3 linked regions of the Oryctolagus cuniculus genome follow. The protein of the gene in region 2 interacts with the protein of the main gene of each other region in a biochemical or structural test. Links are inferred from orthologs where the notes say so. Each region holds a gene or a part of one and is shown on either strand. Other genes may lie near its edges.

Region 1 (4,465 bases), on a different chromosome or scaffold from region 2:
GGAAGTAGAGCAGCCGGGACTGGAACCGCGCTGCAGGCGGAAGCTTAGCCTACTATGCCACAGCGCTGACCCCCTTTATTTCACCCTTATAAAAATGTTGATGTACAATGTCTGCATGTAATACATTTTAATTTAGCAAACACTTTGGTAGCCTGCCCTCTGCTGTGCGGTGTTTTACAAATATTGCCTCATTTGATTTATTTAATAAACTTCAATCTGAATCAACAGGGTGGTGTGGGGGCTTTCTGGAATCTACCTCCCGGCCATCCTCCCGTTTTTCCGCAACGGAGAAGGGCAGGAGGGAGCGGAGGAATTAAGCCGCTCCGGAGGGCACGACCGCCTCCCACTTCCCGCAGCTGTCTGCCAGGTTTGACCTTCTTCCCCTGGCTAAGGGCAGGGGGTCTTCAGCCTTCGCGCAGATCCGTCGGTGGGAGGGTGGGTGGCTTTTTCCGGGTCACCGGCACCCCCTCTCTGCTCGCAGCCACCTGCTCGGGTTCCATGCCGGGACCTGGCTCCCTGGAGGGCGTCAAGGACATTCCAATCCTCCCACTACCGCGCGGATGTCACGGGGGGGGGGGGGGCGCAACTGCTCTCGCCTCGCAGCTCCCAGCTTTGACCCGCTTTCTTCTCGGCCCCTAGCGGCCCGGGCCAAGCCATCGAGGCAACCAAGGGTTGGTGAATGGTTTGGAGGCTGTTTGTTTACACCCCACCCGTGGGCGAAGCCGCATCTCCAGCGACAGCAGCACTCTATGGGGCACCGTCCGCGCTCTTTAGTAGACAATCGAAAGTCGAGCGGCCAAAATGCCTCCTCGCCAGACCAAATATGGTCACAAGCGCTAAGCAGCCTCCCGGGGAAAGGCTGGCCTTGTTGGAGTCTCCCCGCGCCGGGGCGTACCCCGGCCCGCCCTCGGGCAGCATCGTGGGTCAGCGCGGCGCTGCGGGTGCTCTGCAGGCCTGGGCGCCGGGCTCCAGGAGAAGGCGCAGCGCCCTGGACCGGCCCTTCCCCAGCCTGGGCCCCTCACCCGCCTGCCCTCCGCCACCCCCAGCCTGGGTTTCGGTCCACAACCCCTTGATTAAACAGGTTCGGGCCACTTTCCCTTTGATCCCGCCCCAAGTCGGTGGTAAACTAAAAGGAATGCAGATCCGGAGCTCCGCGGGAGAGGTCCGCGCGGGCCGGGAGGAGTGGGTGGGGGGCACCCGTCTCCTCTTACCCTGTGAAGTACTCAACACGCCCAGGGGTTTCTGGAGCCGGGGGTGGGAGGAGGAGGAAGAGGAGGGGCGAGCGGGGGCAGGCAGGCAGGCTCAGGACCTGCAGGTCATGCATAATTCAACAGCTCAACTTTCGGGCCCGCCTCTTTCCTGGGGGTGGGAGTTTGCTCCAAACTTTGTTTATGGGACAGTCCCGGAGCTGCTGCGGCCGCGCTGTCGGCGTCTCCTCCGCCTCCTTCTCGCCGAGAGCAAGCGCCTGAGGCCAGCTCGGGGGATGTGAGAGCCGAAGCCCCTGGGCTGCCAGGCACCGAGTCGGCTCGGTTTCTGCCAGTCGGGCCCCGGCTCCAGCTCCGCACGCGCGGGACGCAGCCGGGCGACCGAGGCCAGACGGCAAGTTCGGGCGGGACGGCGGCCGCCGCGCACTCGGGCTCGGCTTCGCTGCGCGCCCAGGTAGTGCCCGCTGGAACGCGCCCGCTTGCCCGGCACGGGTCCAGGGCGCCGGGCTCTTCTGCCTTCCGGAGTCGGGCTGGCGTGGGGTTGGCTCGGGGTGAGACTTCCCGGGGGCGGGCGGGGGCGGTGGGGGAGGTGGGCTGCAGAGGCTGCCGGCCGCGGAAAGCTGCGCCCTATCCTCTGCCACCAGCAGTGCAGCAACGTCCGCCATCCCCACCCTGAATCCCACCCCGCCCTTCCTTCTCCTATTCCCGGTAACTTCTTTGCTTCAAGAAAGTTGCATAATTCCCGAGGTCAGGAGGGACCCCTCCCCCACCCGGCCGAGCGGCTGGTATCCCGAGGCCGACACCGACCCGTCCTCTCCCTTCTCTTCCTCCCAGCCCGTCCTCCAACTCCGATAAGAGACTGACCTCCCTTCTCCCTGCAGAAGATGAATCCGGCCTCGGCGCCCCCTCCGCTCCCGCCGCCCGGGCAGCAAGTGATCCACGTCACGCAGGACCTCGACACGGACCTCAAAGCCCTCTTCAACTCTGTCATGAACCCCAAGCCCAGCTCGTGGCGGAAGAAGATCCTGCCCGAGTCCTTCTTCAAGGAGCCGGATTCGGGCTCGCACTCGCGCCAGTCCAGCACCGACTCGTCGGGCGGCCACCCGGGGCCCCGGCTGGCCGGCGGCGCCCAGCACGTCCGCTCACACTCGTCGCCCGCGTCCCTGCAGCTGGGCACCGGCGCGGGCGCCGCGGGCAGTCCCGCGCAGCAGCACGTACACCTCTGCCAGCGCTCCTACGACCTGACCGACGAGCCGCCGCTGCCCCCGGGCTGGGAGATGGCCTACACGGCCACTGGCCAGAAGTACTTCCTCAAGTAAGTCGACCCGGAGCCGAGGGGCACAGAATCCCCGCGTCCTCAGGGCCCGCGCGCTTTGTCGTGTGTGCGTGTGTGAGTGTGAGATGGTGCGTGTCCTCCCACGGATCTTGCCCCCTCCCAGCCCCCGAATCCCGAAGGCTGGATGTATGGACTGTCTGGGTGTGGACATACTTGTAAGGGACCAGGGGCAGAGCAGAATCTGGTAAGGTTCATTGGCGTTCTGGAAGAACCAAGGAGAAAACAAAATTGTGGCGGGGAAATGCTCACGGGACACGTCTGTACTTCGCCCTGAATCTGGAGGACTGAAACAGGTTCCCCCTAGCACAGAGCCTTCGCGCCTTGCGGGACGGAGGGGGATCCTGTGAGAGAGAGGCTGGGAGGCTCAGGGCGGGAGGGGCCGTTGGCTTCTAGGGGGAGCAAGCTGGGAAAGGGAGCAGCCGGGTGCAGCACCCATCAGGGTGACGTAATGACCACACAGCACAGTGATGTAATTAGCAACTGGGGTGAAGTCCCCGTGGGCTGGCCTAATCAATTGTGTGGAAATTGGGTCAGGAGTTTTATGAGGTTGCGCTGGGTCACCTAAAATACCATCACATCGGCAGCCTGCTGCTTCTGCCCTTAGCCTTGTTCCAGCCTTCTGTTACAATGGGTTGGAAGTTAGGTTCGAGTTTTCTAATTAGAGCCTACAGGAAAATACATTCTCAAACACTGGAGGTTATTGTTTCCGTTGTGGTACCCTACGATAATTACATTCCTGAGGAGAAACCAAGTTGGAACTTGAAATGTAGCTAGTGAGGTCATGGAGGGTCAGGCTAGCAAAGGCCTGGGTGGAAATGGTGCCAGCTGGGCCACTTGGTTCAGGATTGCCTGCACTTGATTGCACTCTCTGCCAGTGAGAAAAACTCCTCTTCCAGGAACTTGCCTTACAGTTCATTTAAACGCCTGTGTTCCTTTGGTGGAAGAGCTTTCGTTCAAAAGTTGTTCTAAAACATGATGGCCCACTTAAAAAATATTATTCAAGTCCTTCTTTGGCACTCATATGGGGCACTTTGATTGCCATGAGAGAACTCTATGCATGCACACACGCAGATGGGTGAGGTTTATTACAGCCAACTCTGGGGCTCAGACTGGTGACCAATTTTTGTTCCTTCCCCTCCAAAAGCTGTTTGACAGCTTATGCAAGGAGGAGTTCATTTTTGTTTCTGGGGTTGGTGCGGTGCTGAGATCCAGAAACAGACTTGATGGCCGTTTATTTATTCCAAAGCTGGTCTTCCTGGGGTTGAACAGTCATGTGGACAAGGAGCTCAGTGCTTTGACTTCTGCATGGCTAATGGAAGTCTGGTAGGTGATGTCAAGACATGACATTTTTCTAAATCTGATATTGTTCCCAACAATGACACTGATTCCTATAGGCTGTCCTAATCCAAAGCAGCTAGCGGCCTGTGTTACTTTTGCCCAGGCAAATGCAGTTTTGCTTATTTTATTGTGACTTTTATAGAAATGGAAGAATAATAAATATAGATAGAAGCAGACTCTATAATTTCGGGGGGTTCTTTTTGGTCTCAAATAGTTTTCCAAAATCAAAAAGAATTAAAAAAATAGTTTTCCATCTGTTTATGAACACACATACAAGGTATGTGTTCAGTGTAACTGATTATTAGGAATATGAAATAAGAGTTGCGCTTGCCTAAGTAAATGAAAAAGATCCCTAAACAAAAGCAAAAAATTAATTTTATAATGTGTTTTGAACGATTGGAGTAGCTCAGAACTTCTTGTGAATTAGGGCAAAAATGGAAGTTAAGTCTTGGGTTTGGAGTAAATTGCTGCTGTCCCCCCCCCCCCCCCAACCATAGCCACTCCCTAACCCAGAGCAGGGGCCATCTTCATTTCACTCTGCATGCTCTGGGAAAATGACAGCTGAACAAAGTGTGTCTGTAGTCGA
Region 2 (3,952 bases):
GGGTAGGGGACAGAGAGAGAGAGAGAGAGATGAAGAGAGGGAGATGAAAGAGAGAAGAAACAAGGGGAGGAAAATGTTCCCCTCATCCCTTTAGCTCTCTCCAGCACGGGCCCACCTCAGGGCCTTTGCACCGGCTGTCCCTCTGCCCGGCTGCTCTGCTGGCCGCCTACCTCCACTCCTCTGCTCACCCAGTACCGCGAGAGACCTCTGACCGACCGCTAACGGCATGGCATACTCCCCACCCCCCCGGGATGGTTGCTGTGGGTCCTTAACCCCTCGCCGGCCAGGCGGGGAGGCTCCGTGGCGGCTGCGCCGTGCGTGCGGCCTCCCTCACCCCAGAGCAGGGGATACACGAATCACTTCGGCTTCTTGGGCTCCGCCAGAATAGTTCAGGGTGTTTAGCAAAGCTAAGCCAAGACCTCCAAGGCCCCCAGACCCCGCATCTCTCAGAATTAAGGTGAACTCTAGCGATGCACAAAGAGGTGGGGGAAAAAGCAACACCTCTTCCCCTGCTCTGTGGGCCCTAACAGGCGCGCCCATCGGCTCCTCCCCCTCAGATTCCAAGGTCCAGAAAGGGGGCGCGCAGTTGGGGGCGCTCCTGCTGAACCCCGTTCCCCGCGATGGCCGCCCGCGCGCGCTCACCTCTGCCGCTGCAGGGAAGACGTTCTCTCGGGGACGTAGCTGGCTCCCGCGTGGTGGCCGTCCCCGCCTCCCCCGCTGCCTCCGCGCGCCCAGGGCAGAGCGCCGCCGGCCGTCGAGGCGCCTCCGAACTGCTGGAGCTTGGAGCTGAGTTCGCTGATGATGCTGGCTTTCACGGTGGCCAAGGCGGAGGCCTGCGGCTGGGCCAGGGGCCCCGGCAGGGGCGGCGGCGGGGGGCCCGGGCCCTCCTCCCAGGGTAGCAGCTTCCGGGGTAGGGAGGAGGCAGCCGGCAAGGGCACCGGCGGCACCTCCGGCTCCACGGCCACGGGACCGCCGGCCACGCCCGCCGCGGAGGGTCCTGAGCAGCCGGTCAGGGCCAGCAGCCCGTCGGCGCCAGCCCCTGCCACCGACACGGTGGGGCTGGTGGGGGTGACAGGGTCTCGAAGTGCCCCAGTGGGACCAGGCCGTAGGCCTCCGCCGGCCCCCAGGGCCCGGCCCCGCAGCTTGGAAGGAGTCATGAGCTGCGGGGGGTACGGTGGGCCAGGGGTGCTGCCTCCCCCGAAGGCCTGGCCGTCCAGGTAGGCCACGTAGGTGTCCAGAAGCTCCGGCCCACTGGCCACAGCCGCGCTGCCGCCGCCTCCGCCGCCGCCGGCGCTGCCGCCCCCTTCCGCCGACAGGCTGCTCAGCGTGGACGCGCTGCTGATGGTCTCCAACGGGTGGTCGCTGCTGCTTCGACTGTCCACTTCCTCAATGCCCGAATCCGTGCCGGGCGGGGGGTCCGGGCCGGGCTGCGGGGCGGGCGGCGCGGGCGGCGCAGGCGCGGGCGGGCCCGGCGGAGGGGGGTCCCCGGGAGCGGCGGGGGCCCCCTGGGTCAGCGTGGCCACTTCACTGTCGTAGGACGTCAGGCTGGACGCGGTGGAGTCCAGGGCGGGCGGGGCGGGCGCGGCGGCGGCGGTGGCGGCGGCGGGGGGCGGCGCGGGGGGCAGGGGCGCGGCCGGGGCGGGCGGGTCGGGCAGCGGGAGCGGGGGCCCAGGTGTGAGGGGCGACTCGGGCTTCTCAAAGCTGTTGGAGAACTCCAGGGGCGGGGGCAGCGGCTCCACGAACAGGAACTCGCCGTCCTCCACGTCCACCGACGGCGCGGGCGGCGGCAGCACGAGCAGCGGCAGCCCGTTCTCCTCGCTGGCCCGCGGGGACGTGGGCGAGGCGGGCACGGAGCGGCGCGGGCTGAGCGGCGGGACCCCCGGCCCGTCCTCCGACGGCGGCCGGGCGGGCGCGCGGGGCTGGCAGTTCTCCAGGAACCGCACGTGCAGGGGCAGCCGCTCGGGCTCGTCGGCGGCCGCGGACCGCCAGGCCTTGCTGACGGCGGGGTGCGGCGCCGGGGGCTCGGGCCCCAGCTGCAGCAGGAGGGGCCCGACCCCGGGAGCGGCAGGCGGCAGACGGTGCAGCAGGGAGCGCCGGGCCGCGGGCGGGCTGGCCGGCAGGGACTTCTCCGGGCCGCCCAGCCCCGCCCGGTACCCCAGCTCGCGGCGGGCAGGGTCGGGCGGCGGGGCCCCCCAGAGCCGCAGCACCGGCTCGTGGTGGGCGTGGGGCGAGTGGTGGTGCGGGGTGGGCGGCGGGGCCTCGTAACGGGGCGACGGGGGCCTGGGAGGGGGCTGCGGGGCGCCGCCGCCGGCCTCCGAGGACTCCTTCAGCGCCCGCTCGCGCGCGGCCAGGGCCAGCCCGAGAGGCGAGGCTGGGTCCAGGGCCTTGCCGGTGAGCGGGTGGACCAGGGGCCGCGGGGGCAGGAAGCTGGTGAACGCGCTGCTGCCGCCGCCCGCGCCGCCCCCGTAGGCGCGGCTGCCGGCCCCGTAGCCCGCGTAGCCTCCCGCGCCGCCGCCCGCGCCCGCCGACTCCAGCCGGAGGTAGGGCTCGGCCGAGAACATGCCCTCGTCGATGGACTTGGAGTGGCGCAGGCGGGGCCCCGGGGGCGCGCCCGCGCCCAGCCCGCCGCCGTCGCCGCCCTCGTCGTCGCCCGCGTCGGTGGACAGGAAGAGCGTGGACCGCCGGCGGGCTTCGTTCTGCCAGCCGCCGTCTCTGCGCGCCGCGCCCACCAGCGCCGCGCCGAACTGGCTGGTGAAGTCCAGGGTGGCCGGGCCGCTGGGCGAGGCGGGCGCGGGCGCGGGCGACGGCGGCGGCGGCACCGGCGACGCGGCCGGCGCGGGGCTGGGCGCGGAGCCGCCGCCCGCGGCCTCGGGCTGCGTCGGGGGCTCGGCCTCGGTGCTGCTGCCCTGGCTGCTGCGGCCGCTGCTGCTGGTGGACGGCGCCTTGATGATGATGGTGGGGATGGGGATGGAACTCTTCTCCGACGGCGCGGCCGCGGCGGGCGGCGGCTGCGGGGACGCGGGCGACGCGGCGGGCGGGAGGCCGCCCTTCTGCGGCTCGCCCTCCACCTTCGTCTGCTTGACGAGCGGGCCCTTGCGGCCGCGGCCCGAGCGCGCCGGCACGTACATGGCCGCGCTGGCCGCCCGCGGGGGCAGCTGGAAGTAGCGCAGGGCCGGCGCCTGCGGGGAGCCCCCGCCGCCGCCCGCAGCCCCGCTGCCGCCGCCGCCGCCGTGGTGGGACGGCGACGCGGCCCCCGGCGTCGGGCTGGGCCCGCCGCCCCGCCAGCCGCGTAGGCTGGGCTGCGGCCCCAGGGCCAGGCGGGGCGGGGGGTCGTCGGGGGAGCCGCCGGTCTCCATCTCCGGCGGGTGCGGAGGGTGGGCGTGGTGGTGGTGGGACTGCGGGGGCGGCGCGTGGTGGTGGTGGTGGTGCGGTGGCAGGTGGTGCGCGGGCGGCAGGGGCCCGCCGTGGTACAGGCTCTTGTCTCGGGCCCCCGCGCGGCCGTCCGGAGGCGAGGGTCCGTCGAAGGACGCCGGGGAAGAGGCTGGGAGGGGGCCGCCCGAGCCGGGGTTGAAGGGGCCTCCCCGCGGGGAGGGGGTGAGGCGGCCCGAGGAGGAGGGGGCGGGCGGGGTGCTGTAGGGGGGCTCGGGGGGGGACGTGGTGGGCGGCGGGGGGATGTCCTCGGACCCGGGCACGGACAGGCTGCGGCTGAACTTCATGGCCGGGGGTGCCAGGTAGGGTCTCTCGTCTTCTGCGGCCCCTGGGGGTGGGGGTAGGGGGAGAGACACGAGATGGAGGGCGGTGGGGGCGGGGGCGTGTGCTGACCCTGCTGGCCAGTGCCTTAGAGCAAGAGTGACAGTGGCGCCCGGGATGCGCCAAGCGATTGGCGGAGGTTGGCCCGGCGCTCCTGGCGCACCACTCCGCCACCAGCGGTGCCAAGTGCAGCCGCGCTTCC
Region 3 (4,506 bases), on a different chromosome or scaffold from region 2:
AAACAACAGTGGATGAAAACGAACCATCTAGTGTCCAATGACCAAAAGTTAGTTTCATGTGTCAACAATCACTTTGAAATTTCAGGCTCACTCCCCCCACTACTACCATTACGCACAAGCATACACACACACACACAGGAGACCCACAGACTCACCCTCTGCAACCTGAGGAGTCAGGAAAGTATAAACAGCAAAACCCCTTACCCACAGCTTTCGTCTGTGGCTCTCACATTCCACAATGCTACAGCTTTGTGTCATTTCAGAAAGCAAATCTTTTTAAAGAACAGATGGTAAAAGAGAAAACCAGGAAGGTTCTTCCTCCCCCACCCCCTACCCCAGGAAAAGGATACTTCCATTCCACTATACTAATGCAGGCTCTCCGGATGGGGTTATTGAGAGACAGACAGAAAAGGGCGCGGGCGGGCCGGCTGTTGGACGAGCTCCCCTGTTTTTTGCTCTTGGCGTATTGCTGACGTTTTCTTTGGGAGAGAGATCCTACAGGTGGGGGTGCAGAGGTGCTCATGGTTTGGGCAGCCTTGGCCTGTCGAGCAGCGTCGATAGCAGCCTGCCAAGACAGGACAGTTTGCTTGGAGCTGTTCGGCTGAGAAGTTGGTCCTTCCCCAGAAAGAGGGAGTCTGGTGCCTCTTGCATAGTTTGCCTCTGGGGAAAAGGAGAAAAACAAAGATTTTTTTTAAAAAGATGAGATTCTAGTGTGTGAGGTGAAGCAAGCTTATCACCCAGCAATCCCAGGGCGGGGTGGGGGGTGTTCATGCCTATGTGTCCACGGTGAGCCTCTTGTTCTGATCAGGCAGAAAAATCCACGCACGGCGCCCCAGTGTCAATCCACGGGAACCTGCTGCACCACGCCCATTCTCTACCAGGAGTTTTGCTGCGCATTCCTTCTGAGAAGCCGAGGTCATCCCTCACTGACTCCACATCTCTTCTGACTTTGAAAACCCGTGCGTCGCTAATGAGTTAAAAGACATGTACAACCGCTTTTCCTAAATAATCACCACCATTACCGGGGGGGGGGGGGGGCCGGAGGCAGTGCCAATAATTCGATAGTCTTAATCATTTCCAGGGTGTTACTCCAACATCTTTCCACAATACGATTTTTTTTCAGCATGGAAAAAAAAAACCATCCACTAGCACAGGGGCAGCACCAAAAGCCCATAACAAATATCTAGATTATGCACTGACACTTCCTGCAAATGAAAATTCATGATGCTTGGGACTCATTTCCTCCACAGGCTTCCGAAAACAGAAAACATCTTTAGGGCTTTTTTGCATTTTAAATTGCAGCAGCAGCAGCCAAGGCAGCATCCAGGGAGACAGAGAAGGCGGTTGGCCAGCACCCCTAGCACCCCAACACACCTAGGATACACAGGCAGGAAGGTGCGGGGGGCCTGGAGGCCTAGGCAGGAACCACCTCAGTGGAAGCCAGCATCCAGGTACACACGAGGCAGAAACCCAAGGGGGCCTCCCAGTGCAAAGCCCCCTCTGGCTTTGGGTCGGGCCAGCCCCAGGGCAGCCCTCCCAGGCACCTGCCGGCCTCGGACCACATCCTCCTCACTAAGGCAGAGGTCAGAGAGAATCTGCAGCGAGGCTGAGGGACCGGCATTTGCACAAGAAACGACTGCTAAGTCAAGAGTCAAAAGCAAGCACCGGTCTGCCTGCCCAGCAAGCCCGAGGAGGGAGCAGAGCGGTCAGGCAGCAGCCAATCTGGGCCGGGATGAGCCCTGCCAAGCCTTTCCCTCGGGGTGCGCTCACCCGGAAAGGCTTGAACCGGGGCTGGGGGGCGCCGGCAGTCTCCAAAGAGGGGGACTGTCCAGGCACTGCCCCAGCCCCAGTCGACCCAGCCGCGGCCGGCGTAGAAAGCGCACGTGGCGGCCGGGCCCGGGCCGCGACTCCCGGGCATCGCTAGGTTACCGCCGAGCGCGTCGCGGGCAGGGACATGCACTCCGCCGGGCCCCTTCCCTTGGGTCGCGGGACCCGGCCTCCCGCGTCGGGCCGGAGAGGGGTGCGCTTCACCCACCAGCGCCTAGGGTGACACCGGACAATCCTAGAATTTTCCGGATGCCACCAGGGGACCTTCTTCCTAAAGGGGGAGGGGGCGGGGGAGGAGAGGAAGGCCAGGAGCGACCGGGAAGGGGGCTCCGGCCAGACCCCAGCAGCCCCCTCCTCTGCTGCCTGGCCCGGGGGCGTTGAGGCAAAGTTGAGCCCGAGGACTCGGAACCTGCAGCGTCTCGGGCCGCTCAGCGCTCCACGGCCGCCCCCACCCCACAAATGCAGAATTAACTCTGACATTCAGGGCCTCAAGGGGAGAGCGGAGTGGCTGCAGCGCATCTCCCCTCCGCCGGCGGACGGCACCGAGCTGGGAGCGTCCTCGCCACCCCCCTCCACGCAGCCGGCGCGGCGGAGCCGCGGGGGGCGGGGGCGGGCAGGGGTGGGCACAGGGCCGCGGCGGGGACCGGATCCGGCCGCGGGCGCCAAGGCTTAGCTGCTCACCGTTCGCGTGGTCCGCTTGCTGCTGCCGTTGATGCTGCATTTTCTTCATCATCATCATCATCATCATCCACGAACATTGATTGAGCGCCTACTGTGTGCAGGGCACTGTGCTGGGCGCCCGGGCTGGGGACGCACAGGGAAGGGGGTTCCCGAGCACGCAGAAGACGCGGTCCCTGCCCTTATTCTCGCTCCGGCAGGGGGTGGGGAGCGCCGGGGACAAATAACAGAAAATACGGATAATTTATAAAAACCGCTCGCCACCCACGCTCCCTCTTTTTCAAAAATGGAGCAAAATAAACTTTTTAAAAAAATAAAATCAGATGTATATATTATCTCAATAATATATACATGGAATTTTCTTTTTTTTTTTTTTTTCCTTTTTTTTTTCTTTGCTGCAAAGGAGAATTGGCTTGGTCCGCTCCACTAGCGGAGGGGCGCCGCGGGGATGCCGGCCCGGCCGCCGGGGCCGCTCGGGGCGCCCCCCATGCCGCCTGCCGCCGCCGCCCGCCGCCCGCGCCGCCGCTGGCTCGGGACCACGGGCAGCCCGAGCTCACATCCGGGGACGGAGGCGCTCGCCCGCCCGCCCGCTCGCTCCGCGCCCGCCGCGCCGCGCCGCACGCCGGCTTCGCCCTGGCGACGCTGCGCGCCCGCCGCCGCCGTCCCCCGCGCTCCCCCCGCCCGCCCGAGCCTCCCACGGGCCGCGCCGCGCCGCACCCCGGAGACCGCCCGCGGCCCGGGGCCCTGTGCGCTCGGCGTGGCCGCCGCGTGGGATCCGGGTGCAGCCCGCACGGACTGGCCCGGCGAACCCGCGGGCTCCAGGGGGTTAAGCGCGCTCCTGCCGCGGGCCGCGGGGTTAACCCCCTCCGCGCCGCAGGGTGTGCTTGCTGGGCTCCCGGGGAACAGGCGGGCGGCGCCTGTGCATCCCGCGGCGGCGGAGCGCGGATTAACCGCTCCTCCCCCTGCATTTCTGGAAGGAGGGGGTTGCGGGCAGTGGAGGCGGGGCGGGGGGCGTAAGCTCCAGAGCCCGTACTGGGCTCTCCTCGTGGTACTCCGGGTCGGCACACCTGGAGGAGGCCCCGCCCCCTGGGAGCACAGGTGCGAGCCGGAGGCAGTGACTGCGCTGCCGAAGCGCACCCTGCGGGGGCCCTGCTCAGGTCCCTCGCGCCTCCAGAGCCTGGCAGGCGCACTCTCCCGCTGGGGGGATGGGAGCCTGCTCTCCAGAGAGCGCTCGCTGCCCCAGGTAACCGCGTCTCTCTCCCACCGGTTCTACAGAGCGCCCCCTCCTCCCTCCCACCGCACCCTGGCGCCGCCTTAGCCGAAGGGCGGGGTAGGGGGGGGCGAGCTGTGCCCTCCTCCCCTCCCCTCTCCTCCCCCACCGCGAATGTGCGGAGGCAGCGACGGGGGAGTCGGCGCCAGGGTCTGCGGGTTTGCTATCGCAGCCGGTCGCTGAGCCCCGCGCTCTGCTTTGTGACAGCTTCGCCGTCGCGTCCTCTGGGCACGGAGAGGCCCGCCGACGGCAGCTCCTGTCTGGAGGGGAGAACGGTGTCATCCGCTGGATGACTGATAGTTTTCATTTCGGGTCCGTGCCGGCTGTCGGAGAAGGGTATCTGCCTTGTTGCTTCCCGGGACGCGGTTTATTTGCTTTTGTTCCGATCTGCGTGTTCCCACCGCGTTTCAGAACGTTTGAGAACTGCGCGGATTAGCGTTTATGGGAAGGCGCTCCTTGCTCAAAGAAGACACACTGGGCATCCTGGGGGGAGGGGGGAGGCAGGGGTGACTGCGAAGAACCAGGTTCTCTTGCTCCGTTTGGGGAAAGAAGAGAGCAGGGAATCAGCCCTGTGGCCTAACGGTAAGGTAACCATGGCCCAGGCCGGTCGCCTAGAGCTGTTTCCCAGCCAGGATCTAAGGCGAGAGAAGACAGCTCCCTTCCCAGAGCCACCCCGCCGTGAAACAAGCGCACAGCCACTTTCAGGTCTCCCGGTCAGAAGCCCTGCCTCT

The links.
Region 1: the proteins of SHANK1 (region 2) and WWTR1 interact in a test that uses a peptide from one of them, tested with the Homo sapiens proteins (2 studies listed by IntAct, with this or other methods). The link is inferred for Oryctolagus cuniculus from reciprocal best matches to the Homo sapiens genes SHANK1 and WWTR1.
Region 3: the proteins of SHANK1 (region 2) and CACNA1D interact in a biophysical measurement, tested with the Homo sapiens proteins (2 studies listed by IntAct, with this or other methods). The link is inferred for Oryctolagus cuniculus from reciprocal best matches to the Homo sapiens genes SHANK1 and CACNA1D.

What each region holds. Positions count from the first base shown.
Region 1 is NC_091435.1:131,815,668-131,820,132, forward strand, and holds the start of WWTR1 (WW domain-containing transcription regulator protein 1), read left to right. Parts: upstream 1-1,397; 5' UTR 1,398-1,659; intron 1,660-1,738; exon of another isoform or gene 1,739-1,756; intron 1,757-2,039; 5' UTR 2,040-2,089; coding exon 2,090-2,520; intron 2,521-4,465. UniProt on the Homo sapiens protein: Transcriptional coactivator which acts as a downstream regulatory target in the Hippo signaling pathway that plays a pivotal role in organ size control and tumor suppression by restricting proliferation and promoting apoptosis.
Region 2 is NC_091449.1:7,306,972-7,310,923, reverse strand, and holds part of SHANK1 (SH3 and multiple ankyrin repeat domains protein 1), read right to left. Parts: intron 3,758-3,952; coding exon 643-3,757; intron 1-642. UniProt on the Homo sapiens protein: Seems to be an adapter protein in the postsynaptic density (PSD) of excitatory synapses that interconnects receptors of the postsynaptic membrane including NMDA-type and metabotropic glutamate receptors via complexes with GKAP/PSD-95 and Homer, respectively, and the actin-based cytoskeleton.
Region 3 is NC_091441.1:96,321,960-96,326,465, forward strand, and holds the start of CACNA1D (voltage-dependent L-type calcium channel subunit alpha-1D), read right to left. Parts: upstream 3,069-4,506; 5' UTR 2,576-3,068; coding exon 2,509-2,575; intron 661-2,508; coding exon 351-660; intron 1-350. UniProt on the Homo sapiens protein: Voltage-sensitive calcium channels (VSCC) mediate the entry of calcium ions into excitable cells and are also involved in a variety of calcium-dependent processes, including muscle contraction, hormone or neurotransmitter release, gene expression, cell motility, cell division and cell death.